Linked DNA regions of Arabidopsis thaliana. The protein of the gene in region 3 interacts with the protein of the main gene of each other region in a pairwise test. Each region holds a gene or a part of one and is shown on either strand. Other genes may lie near its edges.

Evidence for each region.
Region 1: the proteins of bZIP7 (region 3) and WRKY7 interact in a two-hybrid assay, tested with the Arabidopsis thaliana proteins (one large-scale study listed by BioGRID).
Region 2: the proteins of bZIP7 (region 3) and CRF11 interact in a two-hybrid assay, tested with the Arabidopsis thaliana proteins (one large-scale study listed by BioGRID).

The regions. Positions count from the first base shown.
Region 1 is NC_003075.7:12,568,956-12,574,989, reverse strand, and holds WRKY7 (WRKY DNA-binding protein 7), read right to left. Parts: upstream 3,453-6,034; 5' UTR 3,061-3,452; coding exon 2,285-3,060; intron 2,183-2,284; coding exon 2,057-2,182; coding exon of another isoform or gene 2,053-2,056; exon of another isoform or gene 1,704-2,052; coding exon 1,544-1,703; 3' UTR 1,217-1,543; downstream 1-1,216. Other genes in the region: AT4G24231 (uncharacterized protein), read right to left, coding at 5,966-6,034. UniProt on the Arabidopsis thaliana protein: Transcription factor. Interacts specifically with the W box (5'-(T)TGAC[CT]-3'), a frequently occurring elicitor-responsive cis-acting element.
Region 2 is NC_003074.8:9,472,894-9,478,806, reverse strand, and holds CRF11 (Integrase-type DNA-binding superfamily protein), read right to left. Parts: upstream 3,396-5,913; 5' UTR 2,989-3,395; exon of another isoform or gene 2,889-2,988; 5' UTR 2,756-2,888; coding exon 1,757-2,755; 3' UTR 1,217-1,756; downstream 1-1,216.
Region 3 is NC_003075.7:17,721,115-17,726,135, reverse strand, and holds bZIP7 (basic leucine-zipper 7), read right to left. Parts: upstream 2,498-5,021; 5' UTR 2,337-2,497; coding exon 1,419-2,336; 3' UTR 1,099-1,418; downstream 1-1,098. Other genes in the region: GRF2 (growth-regulating factor 2), read left to right, coding at 1-603.

The DNA.
Region 1 (6,034 bases), 5.2 Mb from region 3:
CGTAATCCAATAAGGCTATCCCTTTATTATTTCACATTTAGAGCTCTCATCAGAGGATTGTGTGCATCTATGACATTGACGCCAACGTTCCTTTCTACTTTTGAGGCTACTAGATTAAGTTGACTTGTTACTTTTTATAAGAAAGCTTCGATGATACATGGATTGATATATAATTAAAAAGCTTCTATGTTATTTACTTTCACAACGTTTAAATTTTCAATGATGTTATCGGATGTAGCTTAATTTTTCAGAGTGGCAAATTTAAATTTTTATATAAGTACCTTTTTTTGTTGATAAGATAAATTTATCCCATCTTCTAAAGAGAAGAACTTTAGAATTGCTTTTAAATAAGATAAATTTTATATTTTAACAATAACAAATTACTCGAACTCATTGTCATTTTTCAATTTAATACTTAAAACGATTTGTAGACGTTATAGAATTTCTAAAAAGGTCGTTAACTTTGTAAGGGAGAAAAATACTAAATAACATTGCATTTGAACGTTTTCTTTTACTAATCTCTAAAATAAAATAAAAAATATGGAATGCTTTTTTTTTTTTTTGACTAAGTGAATGACTTTTTAAATTCTATTAATGGATATGTTGTAAAATACTCTTTTTGTATCACTTTAAGTGATGTTTAAAGGTTTTATACACAAATTAAGAAAACACATAATTTGTGTATCACTTTAATCCTACCTCTTTTACATATAATACAATTAAACAAATTTTAACTAATTAGATAACATACTCTAAAATATGATTGGTCTAAAAAATTTTAAAACATCTTTTTAAAAAAAGTCTCTAAAACATCACTTAAAAGTGATATTGAAGAGTTATAACGCAATGATGCATGAATAGCTGATTTTCTTGGTAACAAAATTTTGTAGTAAAGCTTTAAATTTTTTACTAAATGTTGAAGTACTTTACACTTGAATTTATAGCCGTTAACATAATCATAAACATTGTCAACTTTGTTGGAAAAAACACACTTAAAAGGATAACGACATTGCATCTGAGGTTTTTCACTAATGCTGAAATAAATACTTATTAGAGCTACTTATTATTTGATCGACAACTTTTCTAGTTTCTATAAACGTGTGTTAAGTTGATTTGACTATGTAATCTACAAATAGTTCTTTTTTTTTTTGTTTAACGAAATTTGAATTGCAATTTTTTCCAATTACCAGCATAGCATTATGGTCAGTTGAATCTAAATTAACTGATAATTTCCCTAAAAACTCAAATAGTTCTGCAAGTAAGAAAAGAATCAGAGATTTGACAAAAATAGTGCACTAAATATATATTATCCTAGAAATAAATAAACAGAAAAGGACATTCACATGATTCAACTTCCATCAAGATCCACAACGTTCCTCTCTCGTCTTTATCTCCCCTCCCTCTATTTCCTCCAATCAAAAAGAAAGATAAAGCAAAAGCTTTTCAAAAAGAAAAGAATAAAAAAGTGCAGTGCGGGCCCACTCTGTCGTTGACTAATCTGGATAGTGGTCACACACAGACAGTTCCCCTCAAACTCGAGAAACTAAAGAGTTTTGTCATGATTCATCGTCGTCGTCTCGAGAACCAAAGCATGGTTGTGGTCTCCTTCGTACGTCACGATTAGCATCATCGCATCATCTAGTGCACGCTCCACATGCTTACGCGCCGGACAACCTCTTACACTGCTGCACTTGTAATATCCCCTGTCATAACCATTACACCGAGTCCTCCCCAGTTAGTTCGAGTTCTTATTAATTAATGAGAAAAGAAATAGTCAACTTAACTCTCGGCTTTCTATTTCAAATTTATTCTATAGGAAACAACAAGTCAAAAAGAGCGTGAAACTGAACCCACTACTGTACTACTAGACAACATGTTTGGTACAACCGATATAGAAAAAAACAATATTGACAATCTCTCTGGTACTAATATTGACAATACACAAGTTGCTTAATTTTCTAGCCAATATTTGATTTTTGGTGTTGAATCTAGTGAGTGATTGTGATGTATGTGTAGAGTATATATATCGATGGTAAAAAATGTAAAAAATAATTACCGAGGATGAGGAGAGCCTTTGATTGGTTTTTGACCATATTTTCTCCATGAAAACTCATCTGATGGTATATCAGCCATTTTGCTACTTACTGCTGGAACTCTAATCACTCTTTTTACTCTTGATTTCCTGATTTTTTTACACAAATTATAATTAACGTTTTATTAATCAAATCTCAAGATTTAGATCTAAAATAAGATTAATTTTTAATAATAGAAGTTGAATCAAAACCTTTTCTTGGAGCAATGGCAACGGCTTGAGGGAGATGAATTACATCTTCTCTTCAACGAAGCTGATGATAAAGGAGGTTTACCTCTCGAACCAGAGAGCTGAGATGGGTTAGTGAACTCGAATCCTGATGACATGTGAGTACTATCGGTGTCACATCTATGAGAAGACATGAATGAGTTCGTCGCTGAGACTGGTGGTGACGGCGCAAAGTTTATCGTTGACGGTGCTCCGTTTGCGAGCATCGGAGGAGATGAAGAAGACGAACCGTTCTTTGTTTGATTCTGATTGTTGTTGTTATTGTGTGATAGAGGAGGACGACGATGAATTGGTGTTGGACAATAAACTCTAAACGCAGATCCACCACCGTGATATTGCTCTGTTTTCTGTTTTGTTAACACGGAGCTTGTTTCTGGCTTCTTCTCCTCCACCTCCACCTCCTCCTCAACCACCGGCGTTTGCTTAAACGGCGTTTGCGTTGACGCGGGAGCTCGTCTGAATCTAGCGTGTCCGGTTCTAGATCTACCGAGTAGAGAAATGACCTTCTTGAAGCTGTTAACGGCGACGTCAGTCACCGCGGTTATCTCCGTCTGACTCTTCTCCGTTGGTTGTTGACTTTGACCGATCAGTTTAAGAAACTCCTCCACACCGTGAATCCCTGCAGAAGCAGCTTCTCTCAAAGCGGTATCTTCCATTTTCGCCGCCGCGGCGATTGCAGGAAAACCATCACCTCCTCCTCCGCCGCCGCTGTAGCTGCTCATCATCAGCTCAACAGTCATCTCATCAAATCAGAGACCAACCACTCAGATTCTTATTAAAGGTCAAAGGAGATGTAAATAAATACAAAGATTCAACAGTTTTCTTGTAAGTTGTGTTTTTGGTTAAAGAAGAAGATGATGATGATGATGAGGGGAAGAATAAATGAAGAGAGTGAAAAAGGGGGAGAGTCAACGATATGCGTTTCTCTCTCTATATCTTTAGGTATGTGTTGATAGTGCATCAGTCAAATCGACCACCACTCATAGGCTTACACGTGTGATCATTTGTCAAGCGTTTTGACACTCCTCAGCGTCAATGATTTTAAATTTGGAGCAAGTGGAGCTCGAATTATATATATATTCGTTATTATTATTCGAGAAAAATCTAAGATATTTTATATTTTTGAGGCTGATTAGATGCTAAAAATATAAAAATTAAATTTTTAATTAAAGAAAGATCTAAAAGGAGGAAGGTCTCTCTCTTCTCTCTATAGTATTTTTCAGAGAAAGATTTTTCCGATGTAAGTTTAGAATCGCCGTCCGGGTTTCTTCCGGTTTCCGTTATCTGGATTTTTTCCGGCTATTATCTCCCGTTGATCGGGATTTAGATTTCTTTTTGGGCAATTTTGAATTCGGTTTCTTCGGATTTGTTTTTGTTTTGTAGCTTTAAAATCTTGATGATGAAACATTATGACAGGCAGAATCTTCAGTTCCGAAGAGGTGTTCTCTTCGCATGATTTAGTTTCTTTCTGCTTTGATTGGCTTCACCGTTGGGTTCTGTTTTTTTTGGCTCCAACAGTTTTCCGGCGATGTGTGCGTTCTCGACAATTAGGTTCGTTTGGATCTACTGTGTTTAAGACAGTTTCAATTTCTCCACGACTAAGGTTAGGTCAAAGCTCGTTTCCTATGCAATTAAGATATGCCTTTGTTGTTCTTGCAAGAGATTTAATTGTTAGACAAGTTTGAACTACTCAGTTTTCTCTAATTTCTTTTACCCATTTTTGCCGAATCCTTTGTGATTCTTGCAATCGGATGAGATTAGGAGATTGATGTTTGTTCTGTAACTTTTAATTGGTGATAAAAAAGAAGTCTCGTTGACCGGTGATTTTCCAACGACGTTTCTGATTCACCAGGCTTGAGTCTCATGTGCAGTGGAGGTTAGGCCTGGGCACGAAGCGAATATCCGGAAAATTTGGGATATTTGTTATTCGATTCGTTTTAATCGAATACTTAATTTTATTATTTGCTTTGATCCGAAAATTTCCAAATATCCGAAAATACGAATATCCGGATTTTTGTATGATATTTGTCGGATATCCGCTTTGCTTTGCTACATCCAAATATTTTTTTATATAAATTATTTAACATAGATTTCAAATTTCTTACCTTATGACTTACGAGTGTGAGATTGAGAGCAACTGAAAATTTTCTGGTTATAAATTCTGTAACCAAATTGAGTGATAAAAATAGTGAAAGGTCGAAGAAAGGAAACAGAAATGTCGCTCTTATATTTGATGGATTGGAAAGTAAAACGACAATTTTAGGATAAAATATAAAAAATAAAACAATTTTATTTTAAAAAATTCCACTTCTCTAATAAAAACTGTGTCACAAAAAAAACACAGGCCCAAAGGATACAAATACAAGCCCAAATCCCAACATATACAAATGCACAACCTATATTGTGATATATATATATATATATATATATAGATCGAAGCGAATATCCGACTTTAGAAAAAATAGTATTTGTTATTTGCTTCGGTTTTTACGATTACTACATTTTTCTATTTGCTTTGCTCCAAAATCTTACGAATATTCGGATTTTTCGAATCAAATCAAATCGAATATTGAGTTAAAGCGGATCGAACGAATATTTTGTCCAGGACTAGTGAAGGTTGTGGACGTTCCACGTGTCCCTAGCTTATTATTATTGGTCTGACACGTCTATAGCTTATCTCTTCTTTTGTGTCGTATGAGCCTTTATATGTGGGATGTCTTGGGCTTTATTTTGGTTTTCTCATAACCAAGCATTGTACTGGTAATGATAAAATGAATAAAATATTACACTTATGAGAAAAAAAAAAAAAAAAAGATGCTAAAAATATTACATATTTATGCAGAATATAGAATAAATCACACATACTGATTTAATAAATGCTCTATCAACTCTGATATATAAGGAGATTTTGAAAAGAAAAAAACAAAGAGGAGACTTTTGTTGTGCGACAGTGATTTTAGTAATTTTGGCAAAGTTAAGTTTGCCTTTCTTTGTTTGGTAAAGTCGTTAGGGAAAGAAACAAAAACTTTTTATTAGTGAAAACCTCGTTAGACTGATTTTTAAGTTTCTTCGTGAAGTGTGTTGTTACCCATTTATCAAGTTTTTTTTAACCGTAGTTGAGCAAATAAGGACGAGTGTCATGATTGTGGTTCCGTCACAAACTTATCGACTGGGTTTGGCCATGTAGGTGAATAGGTAGGAAGACATGGGCCTTAGTCTTATCATATTATGCATTAACATAGGCCCATGTTTTGTTTGTAAAGGCCCAAATAAACTATGAACTGTCCTTGCATATTACCTCAAAAACCTTTAATCTCTCTTTTGGTCTTGTTTTCTATTTCCATTTCTATACCATTCAAAACTATAACTTAATTTCAGCATCATTAAAGCTTGGAATGGGAGTAATTTTCAATGAGCTGGTTTTTGTTATTTCAAAAAAACTCACTAAACATCCAATCAAAATTAAGGAAATTAGTTTTCATAAAAGTGTGTTTTTTAAAAGCCAGATTTTTATCATACGAAAATCCAAAAAAAAAAAAAAAAAAAAAATTAAAAAAACTCTTCCAATCATTATTTTAGTTTGTAAAGAGTCCAAAGACAAAGATCCAGTGAGAGCAAAAAAAAAAGCGGCGCGCTGCATAAGGATTAAGGAAGGAGCCGGTGAGGTGGAGAAGAGGATAAGAATAAAACCGCAAGAGCCAAGTCAGCAGTCAT
Region 2 (5,913 bases), on a different chromosome or scaffold from region 3:
TTATGTGACTCTAATTGATTAAAACTATATAGCCTTAAGTCTTTTGTTGTACAAGCTAGGCCATTGATTGTTGGTCTTGACTCTTGACTCTTGAGTCTTGACCATGACTTATCTATAAAAGAGTGTAAAATCTGATTATTATTGTAATTGTTAACTTGCTGTACAGATTTACAACGTATGATAGCGTTATGGTCTCACTAGCCCAACAAAAATTATTAATTTGTAATGTGGGCTCTCCGTTTACGTGCATTGGGCCTTTCAGTAACATAGAAAGCCAGAAAGCCTATTTGTTATTATTATTCGATTTTTTCTTTCAAGTTTCAACATCTTGGATCATTTTTTTGGTGCAACATATTTTTTTTCCATCAAATGGTGCAACATATTTAGTTGTATAATGGACGTGTTTAAGATTCTTCATAAGATGCTAAATATTACCAAATGACTAATCCAGAATAACTATGTAATTGATTGCTTGATCGTAAGTAAACCCCTTTGTCCAAAAAAAAACCATGGAAGTAAACCCAATTTTTATTTCAGATCATTAGAAATCACTAATTTCCACGTTTTTGATAAAAAAAAAGCTCCATCGAATGAGAATGACACTTGATAAAAAACCAAATTGTATACATCGACTTCGAGCATGTCAAATCTCCAATCTCCAAAGAAAAGTACAAGTCTTAAAATCTCAAATCAATTATTCTTAAGACTTCAATTTATTTTCTGTCAACATCTTAAGAATTCAATTAACAAAAAAACAAAAACATCTTAGAATTCATTTTAATTTGTTGAAAAAACAAAAACAAAATGAATATGCACGTTCAATTCAATGTATATCCATAATTCTGTTCACTAAAACGAAACTAATAAAATCCAAAAGCAGCTACAGTCTGAAGTTGAGAGATGGCTTGACACAAAAGAACACACCACTATATACTCTTTATATCAAAGATGGAACTAGTTGAAAATTTTGGCAAGACTTGTAATATACGCAAAGGTTGCTTTAAGAAAATTAGATCAAATATTAAATATTATAAAAGAAATGGTTTAAGAACCAACGCAATTAGAGCGGTGATAATTTGTCCTACTGTTATCATCAACCAAACCCATTAACCTCTCTATCTTGCATTATGTGTTTTTGTTCACATAACTTTTAAAGAAAACTTTACTGATATAATGCAAAAAGAGGATAAGCCTAAACCCTAACTCTATAGGTAGTGATTGCAGAGAACAAACGGTTTATCTAGTTATCTTCATGTCTGACTGAATCAACCCGAAAGAAACAGCAATCAAACATTGGTAACAATGACTTAACAAGAGCAGAGGACGAAACCATCAACAATGTATGTAGCACAAAACAAATAAAGTAGGTCTCACATATGTATCAATAACTCAACAGGCAAAACTTACAAAGATTGAGAGAGCTTACGAATTAGAAAACATCTAAAGGCTTTTCAAAGACAATCCTCATATAGAAAAAAACCCTAAATGAGAAACAATTGCCTTCAAAAAAAACCACCTGAGATTTACAATTTCGATCACACCTCTCTATCTTCTCCACAACATCAAAACCATTATGTCAACAAAACTTTCTTTAGTAACACCAACACACAAAACTGCATCTGCTTCTATCTTTAGGGTTTTTGCTTCCCTTGAGATTAACTGCCTCTGCTATACTTTAATAACTTAAGACAAAACCGAGTAACAACGAGCTTTTTACGTTGCTCCTATAGCTAATAATAACACCTAGCTGCAAAACTTATGGGCACGCGATATTAAGAGGAGTGGGAGTAGTTGTTGCGATATGATCAACGAAAGCATACTTGTCAATGGTGGTTCCAATGAGACCAAGATCGATCTCCACATCTGAGAAATCATAGTCTGGAAGTTCGCTTGGACCGTCACATTCAAGACCAATGATGTCCAGATCATCTATGCCACAGTAATCATCCAACATTTGGTTGTTGTTCTCTTCTGTTAAGAGAAAATCAAGCTCACAAGCATTTGGGATGAATGAGTCATCAATGAAGCAACCCATTTCAGGAATCTGTAGATCTGCAAAGTCGAAATCAAAACTCGCTTTCTTCGATTCACCAGCTTGTTGATCAAGAGTCGAATCAACTAGCTTCTTGTCAAGATCAATGCTTGACCCTGAGGCTGAGATCATAGAACCAGACTCATTTGACAAAACAGAGGAAGCAGCAGAAGTGGCTGCAGCCAGAGCATCAAACTCAAGCTTCTTGGTAGCATAAGCATCAGCTGCTTGTTCAAGCGTCTCGTAAGTACCCAACCAAGTTCTTACTTTGGTGATTGGATGTCTAATCTCAGCAGCCCATTTACCCCATTTCCTCTGCCTAACACCAACAGGCTTCGAGACAGTAGTAGAAGAACGTCCAACGACCGGAGATGCTTTGCTGCGTAAAACCTTTTTGCTACAAGCTGAGATTTTAGTCTTGCTTACACCATTATTGTTACTCTCCTGACAATATGAGCTTTCAGATTCTGCTTGAGTAGCAGCTTGAGCGAAAGGAAGATCGATCTCACAGACATAACGTTTCCTTCTCTGACTCCTTTCTTCTTCTTCGCTTGATGAGTAGTCAGTAGCGTAAGGATCATTCACAACGAAACGGAGTTTTCTCATAGTCTTCAAATCTTCAGATAAACCTGGGAGGTGATTTAGCTGAAAAGGTTTCTTCTTCATGGGTTTTTTGTTGGGTTTATTGGTTTGAATAGAAGAGCGTTTCTTTCGTTCAGCCATTTTATCGAACACTTGGTGTGCGAAATTCAAAACCAAACCCCCTTAAACCCTAAAAAACCTCTCAAAATTCCCAGAAAAGCCTCAAAATGAACTCTCTCAAGAACAAGAAAAGTCCTTTACCCCAGAACAAGTCCTGTTTCAATAACCAGCAAAAACACAACAACCCACTTCAGATTCGAACAGAGAAACTATAAAAACCATTCAAAGTAACAAACTTTAGCAAACCCAGTTACCTTTTAGGTCTTAAACGCATGGAAATCGATGAAACTGTGAGAAATCAATCACTGAGAGAGCTAGTAGATGTAGCTTGATGAACGAGAAAAACAGAGCAGAAAGCGATTAAGAAGACGAAGAAGGAAGAAGAAGAGAGAGAAGCGTAGAGTCAAAGACAGAGCTCCGGTTAAACAAATTATTCCGGCGACTTCAAAGATCCTTTTCTCTCTCACACTCCTCTCAGCTCTTCGAGCTTCCCAAAAGTGAAAAAGAAAAGTGAGAAGATAAAAGATTCAAAAAGAGGAAGAAGAAGAAGAAGAAGAAGATAAAGTAAAGAATCAAAACGAATCGAAAACAGATGACAAATCTATGGCCAAGATTTTTCTGCCTCTCTATTACCAAAGACAAAACTTTTAATTTATGTCGGAAAAATAAAAGAAAGTTATGTAACTGGTAAATTTAAGAGACCGAGGAATTTAAAAAGATGTTAAAAATCTTTTAAGAAACGATTGTTCAAACACAGATCTCAATAAAAATTTATTAAAGCATTAAAAGAAAGAAAAAAAACGAAGATGGGAAATTAAATTCGTTTTTTATTAGCATTTGGTTTTTTTTTTTTGGACAGTTTTATTTCATTTTTTCGGTTAAGATTGGTGAAAATAGTTTTACAATAGGGATAAGGAAAATGTTTTTTAAATTATCACTTTATCATTTTCGTTGGTTTAAAGTATGAATTTTGGATCTTGTGAATTAAATTCTTAATTTGATGTTGATTTTCAATTTAATTACAAATTCTCGTTGACTAAGCCAATTGAGACACAATTTTTTTTCCCGGTATCGTCAATCGACCTAAAGATGAAAGATTACTTTGAATTCGAATAAGAAGAGAAATTCCAAAGAAGATAAGAGATTCTGAAGAAAAATAGAGAAAAACTCAAAAATTTTAATTAGAAAATTTTTTAACGATGTGTCTTAATTGGCTTAGTTAACGAGAATTCGTGATTAAATTAAACGTCAACATAAAATTGAGGATTTAAATCACCAAATCGAGAGTTTATGTTTTAAACCAACGAAAATGGTAAAGTGATGATTTAAATGACATTTTTCCCTTTTACAATATGGTAATAAAACATACTATTTTTGGAATTATATTATGGATATATGGTAAATAAATTTAGTTTGTGAAAGGAATAATACTTTGTATCGAACAAGTTATTATTGTATTGTAATACATTATTCATGAAATTTACTTCTCACTGTTACTGCACTGTGGGTCTTTTAGCTAAGTGAAGTAATAGAATTTTATTTTATTAATAGTATTAAACTACAATAACATATATATTCGTTTTTTAATTAAAAATAAATAAAAGAGAGTGACTAGTAACTACTCCTTCATTGTTTAGTGAATTATTCATATTATTTGATGTGATGTATACTTGTATTCTATAGTAATTTAACTCATTCTCCCAAATTGACTCTTAAACAAAAACATCAATTATAGATTCTGATAATTTTTTCGGCATTCAACAAAAATATCTTACAAAAGATCGACGAGTATAATTCAATACCATTAATTAACATAACAATTTGTGAGGTTAATTAATTACATTAGAGGTAGTTTACTTTGCAGTATCTTGATTGTGCTAAAGAAGAACAATTTCGAACGTGGAGGATTGTTCCATCCCCACATTTGCTAGTTGCTACCAACCGAGGGACTTTTCATCATAATTTACAAGTCTTCTTCCCATCTTTAGTGGGTATAAATAAATACAATTTTTTTTTTTTTTTTTTTTGTGCACCAAATAAATACAATGTTAATGAGAATAATTCACAACTCAAAACGTTTTTGAATAACTCTGTTTTATTTTTTCCACACTCAAGCATTTCATGAAGTCAATGGTCTCTTTTTGGGTCAACTAAGTCAGTGCTTAAGTTAAGTTACTCTGTAATATTCCGTAACATAACATGATCATGATCACTCTAATAACTTGCAAAATCATTTAAGTTCGGTCCGATTTGAACCGATCAATTTAAACTTGTATTTTAGAGGTTAAGCTCATCCATTATTTGATATCTTACACCATGAACGAACATTTGGTTAACCTAAAGAACACAAAATAAAATAAAAATTTCTAACATTTTTTGCTCGATTCTATTTGGTTTCGGTCCTAATAGTTTTGAAACAACTTAAAACAGGTCGCTTCCAGATTAATCCAAAAAGTTAACATCTCTAGATTAAAATTTATATATCAACTTCAAATTTTATGATTTTTTTGTAAGGTTCATTACGATTCGATCGATTAAAAATTTAAAACATTTTTTACTAAAGAAATACCAAAAAAATATTGAAAGTGTCATTTTCTTTCAATTCCATAAAACGAAAGGAACTCCTAATTTCCAAAATTTTGTTTATTCCACAGCTTTTTTAACATATCGCTCGCATTGCCACATTGGTCCAGACCTACTCCCCTTTTTATTTACAAGATTGCCACTTTAAAGAGTTGGATAATTAATTTAGTTTAAACTAAACATTTTTCTGCAACAATATAGTAGGAAAACAAAAAGCTAGAAGAAAAAAGAAAACAGTGAACGCACGCCTGAATGCATGTGATTGCCTACCCTACGTGAAGAAAAGACGATGCAATTACAGAAGTAAGAAAAACATTTTCTCCACCAATATACAATGACCCTTACTAATTATTACTATTTCAACAAAACGTTTCCTACGTAAGGAAGGCAACAGATTCATTTGATGTCATTTTTCAACGACAATAGACAAAAAAAAAGTAAAGCAATAATAAAGTAAAGTTGTACACTACATATATACTTTTTAAAAATTGTTGAAACACAAAATGTGTGCAAATTTATAACAGTGTATACAAAATGGATGTTCAACTACGTCAAAGACTATTCATGAAGAAAAACGGTCGTGACAAAATTTAGAC
Region 3 (5,021 bases):
TCCACCGTCAACTTACAACCCAAGGAATCTCCGGTTATTCATCAGAAACACAGAAACAACAACAACCCTTTTGAGTTTGGACACATATCCTCTGATTCGTTACTCAACCCGAATACCGCAAAGACCTATGGATCATCGTTCTTGGATTTCAGCAGCAACCAAGAGAAGCATTCAGGGAATCACAATCACAATTCTTGGCCTGAAGAGCTGACATCAGATTGGACACAGCTCTCAATGTCAATTCCAATAGCATCATCATCCCCTTCCTCCACACACAACAACAACAATGCTCAAGAAAAAACAACACTCTCGCCTCTCAGGCTATCCCGCGAGCTTGACCTATCGATCCAAACCGATGAAACAACAATCGAGCCTACTGTGAAAAAGGTGAATACTTGGATACCAATCTCATGGGGAAACTCCTTAGGAGGTCCTCTAGGTGAAGTACTAAACAGTACAACGAATAGTCCAACATTTGGATCTTCTCCTACAGGGGTTTTGCAAAAGTCCACATTTTGTTCACTCTCTAACAACAGCTCCGTGAGCAGCCCCATTGCAGAGAACAACAGACACAATGGCGATTACTTTCATTACACAACCTGAAAACTGAAACCAAGTCCTGCGGCAGGAAACAAAAAAAGAAAAGCTCTGTTTTTTCTCTTTCATTATGTTCTGTTTCGTCTTTCTAAAGCTTAAAGAGGAAATTAGAAAATCGTTGTTCTTCTGATTCTTTCTTCGTTTCCGATTTCTGAATCATTTGTTTGATAATCACTTCATATAATCACAATCTTTATTCTAATTGTTCAGTTACAAACTAGGGTTTATCTTTGCTCTTTCATCAAGGGAAAACTTTTAGGGTCGTAACAAAAATGGACTTGAGGACCTAAATTATTGTTGGGCTTTATGTTCCAAAACTTTATTTGGGCCGAGATAGGCATTTTAACGATTAAGATATATTATGTAGTGATATTACAGTATTTGGGATCGTGGCAACCGGTTTATTAGGCTTGGTTTAGTACTTTAAAATACAGTGTATCTTTTCAACAATTATGGGCGTTGTAGCATGATGTCAATGCGCATAAAGCCTTTCCAGTTTCCACTAAGTAATAATGTAAATCGTTGTATTAATTTAATAACTCTTTAAGTTATTTATCTCATACACGAGAGTGGGAAAAAGAAAACCAAAATAAAAATCTGTTTTGTTTTCCTTCTTCTCTAGTGTAGTGGAGTCACAACATATAGAAAACGAGAAAGTGGAAAGGAAAATTAGAAAACTATCATTTTCTCTTCCTAACCTTCATTTCATTTACATAGAGAGATAGAGAGACATAGCGAGAGTTTCTTTTTTGCTTTGCTTTTTTTTTTTGGTTATTGTTCTAAGTTTTTCGATATTTTTTCTTCTTAAATATTTTGATCTATCATTGAAGATGAGGGTGGTTTTGTTCAGTCATGATCATTCTCCGGTTATGTAGTTCCCATTGTTGCTGTTGTTGAAGTTGTCTAATGATCAGAATCCGACGCATCTCCGACAATCTTAGCCGGAGTATCTCTTGTTCTGTCACGAGCCGGTTATTGTCGGAATTCACTCGTTGAAGCTGGTGTAAAACTAACCGGAGTCGGTTCCCGAGCTCACGGTTTTCTAAATCCAACCGGTTTACTTGCTCTCGTAAGTTATCAATGTGACTTTGTTTACGCATTCTTGACCGTTTCGCTGATTCCCGGTTTGACTCCATCCTCTTCCTCTTCCGCTCGTCGGTCATCTCCGGTTGGATCATTTTTTTCCGGTTATGGTTATTCTCTCCCGAACCGAAATTTGTGATGGCTGTCAATTGTTTTGTGTCGTCCGAGTCCGGTTCATCTGCTTGAGAGCACGGTAGATCGTTTGATATGTCGGCGTCGTCACAACGAGGATTAATTTTGACGAAACCGGCACAAGATTCGTCAGAACCGGTTTTCATGTCATGAGAACCGGAATTAATTTTGACGGAACCAGTGTCGGATTCACCATAACAAGGACTAGGGATGGCCGGTTCAAGAGACATTTGGTCCACGAAAAAGAGATCAGAGCAATCCCATTCCCAAGGAGTGAACCCGGTTTGGAAACCCGAGAATTGATTAACCAAACCCGGTTCGGAGAATGAAAAGGCCGGTGCAGTGGACAACATAATTGCTAATAATTTTTCTAATAGAGAGATGAGAGAAATTAGAAGGGGAAAAGGGAAGAATTGCATTGTTGGAGCTTGATATTTATGGACAAACCAAGGGGTAATTTGGTCATATTTCCAAAATACGATGTAAGACCGTAGACTATACTGTATAAACAGCTTTTGAGTCATGTTGCACTATGGTGGGGTTAAAAACTTGAAAATTTTTATTTGGCAGAGCCAACTTTTGTAAAAGCAGGAAATATTGTGTAGGGCACCAATAGCTTGTTTTGGGTCCATATAACAAAAATAAATTAACAAATTTGAAAATTATGTAACCAGTAATAGCTTAGTGATGAAGAAAACAGTCCATATTTCACACGTTTTAAGAAATTCAAGAATGAGATATTTCTTTACACTCCTAGAAAAAGTTTAACTTTTCATATTGGAATTGAATACTTCATATAGTTTTCTCTCATTCTTGTTAGAAGATTCAACAAAAAAAACAAAAAATTATCAATTCCATATTATCTTCAATAAACTTATCATTTTAGTTAGTGATTAGATAAAACAAAAATTGTATGTGAACATATGCTGGTTAATTATGATATTTACAGTCAGAATAGAGTAATTTGTGGTTCTTTATGTTCACTGTTTAATAATCTTTCTTAAAGAGAAAGACAATCTTTTTTTAAAGAGAATGGCAATCTTTCTTTATTTTAGTTTTGTCAATTTCTTTTAACACGGGATGGACACACACTGGAGAGGGACTAGAATCATCGTTTCAATCAGAGAATCTAAGGAACATACTTTTCAATTAACTGAACCAAACTGGTGCTTTGCATGAGAGATGAGACCAATGCTTTTTGTAAAGAACCCTATAAGTTAACCTATGACCAAAAAGTTAAGTATATATACTTGCTTGCTACACGGAAACATTGAATATTTCGATTGCAAGGATACATCAAATGTAGAGTATTTTTAGATTAGTTTCTTCATTAGAAATATAATGTGAAAAATTCAATAATTTAATTGTTAAATCTTGAATCAAAATATATTGTTTCGTAAATAATGTTTAAATATACAACAGAAAATTAATGGAAATATAGAAAATAAATTAATTTTTATCTTAATGTTGAATTGTTTTCTCTTTGGTTAAAATGCTGCATCAATCATAATTGATTGTATAAATATATATACGGCATTACATAGCTTTTTCGCTTAATAATTTACCAATCTAAGGAAAGATAATTAATAAGGATGAAAAATGCGCCTAGACTTCTAAATCACACAATCCCTAGTACAAAATTCTGATTAAAATTAAATTTAGTATACTATAATTATATTAATTTTTAGATACCTTTACTTAGCTTATTTATGATGAGAAACAAAAAATGTGGAGCAACGGCCACATGCATTTCATATAGAATAAAGTGGAGAGGACAAAGACTTATATATATTACATATACACGTCGCTTTATTATAGCCAGATTCATGTTTTGGTTCGGTCTCATGTGAACTCAACTTTAAATGTCCAGAAAAAAAAGCTCACATCTTAGCTTTTTATATACATTAAAAAAGGTCGAGTGGAGGGACCTATTACTATTGTTAACCACTGAAAAAGTCGTATCGCAGATCGGTCGATGAGCCAGGAGCTAAGCTTGTGCCCGGCTGGTGAACCAGCTTTCAACATGGCTTATAGCAAGTTACAACAAGGTTCTGTTGAGATAATCATATACAGTTTGATATATTAGCAAAATATTTTATAGTTTGATCCTAATTAGTACAAAGTTCTTAAAGCTCGATCTATATACGTATACGAACATTTCATGCTAAGTGGTCTATTTTAACATTTGTATTTCGAAATTTTTTAAAGTTTGATACAATGATTTTTCCCTAGTGGAGTTACAAAAATCTTTATCTTAAAAAGTTTTCACCTCATTATTGTATTAAAGGAGTTCAATACACATGTCATGGGAAATGAAAAAAGTTTATAAGACGGAAAGCCCACATTTACTTGTAAATTGATGTCACAACTTTAGTTCGAATATTCATTGAGCCTTAACACGTAAATAACTCAATAATTTAAAGATTTAATGTTCTATAATAGTCTTTTTTTCGTTTGTACTCACACGCATATTTATCATATTGGAATCCGGACAGCGAACAGGGTAGCAACATTCGTACATACAAACCACTAAATTAAAACCCGCATCAATTTTTTAGAACATTTTAGAATTACATTAATTCTTCCTTTACATATCTGAAGACATACGTACATAGAATCTTTATATAACTCAAGTAATAGTCATGCGAATCATGTAGAAGACATTATTCTTTACCCTTATGCTAATTAACGAACTTCCCTTTGCTTGAGGAAACATATACCAATTTTGATGCGTATAGGTATATATTATGGATCTTGTACTATTGATGATTCATACATACAATTAAACTTACGGAAAATCCAATAAATTTTGATTTTATACCTATATTTATAAATTTTACTATATAAACTCTGAAAAAAACAATTTTTTTTTTTAAAAAGATTTAATTCTTTAAAAAAAGTTAACCACAAAAACTATCATTGAAATGTAACGGAATTCCAGTAGATCATATCTGAACAAATATTCTTAAAAATTTGTTAAAACTTCAAATACTTATTTGTAAGATTATAGTCAACTTGGTGTGTATGCTTTTCTTATATTTATGCTAATTACTTAGCCTATGGCTAGTTTAGCCCCGTTTAGGTCATATTAAATTTAAAAATCTTAAACTAAAGTCGAGGAGGAAACTTTAATAAAAAGTTTGAAGAAATTCTAAATATGACGCATGTAAAGTTTTTTAATCACTATAAAAAGAATACAGGCCATATAA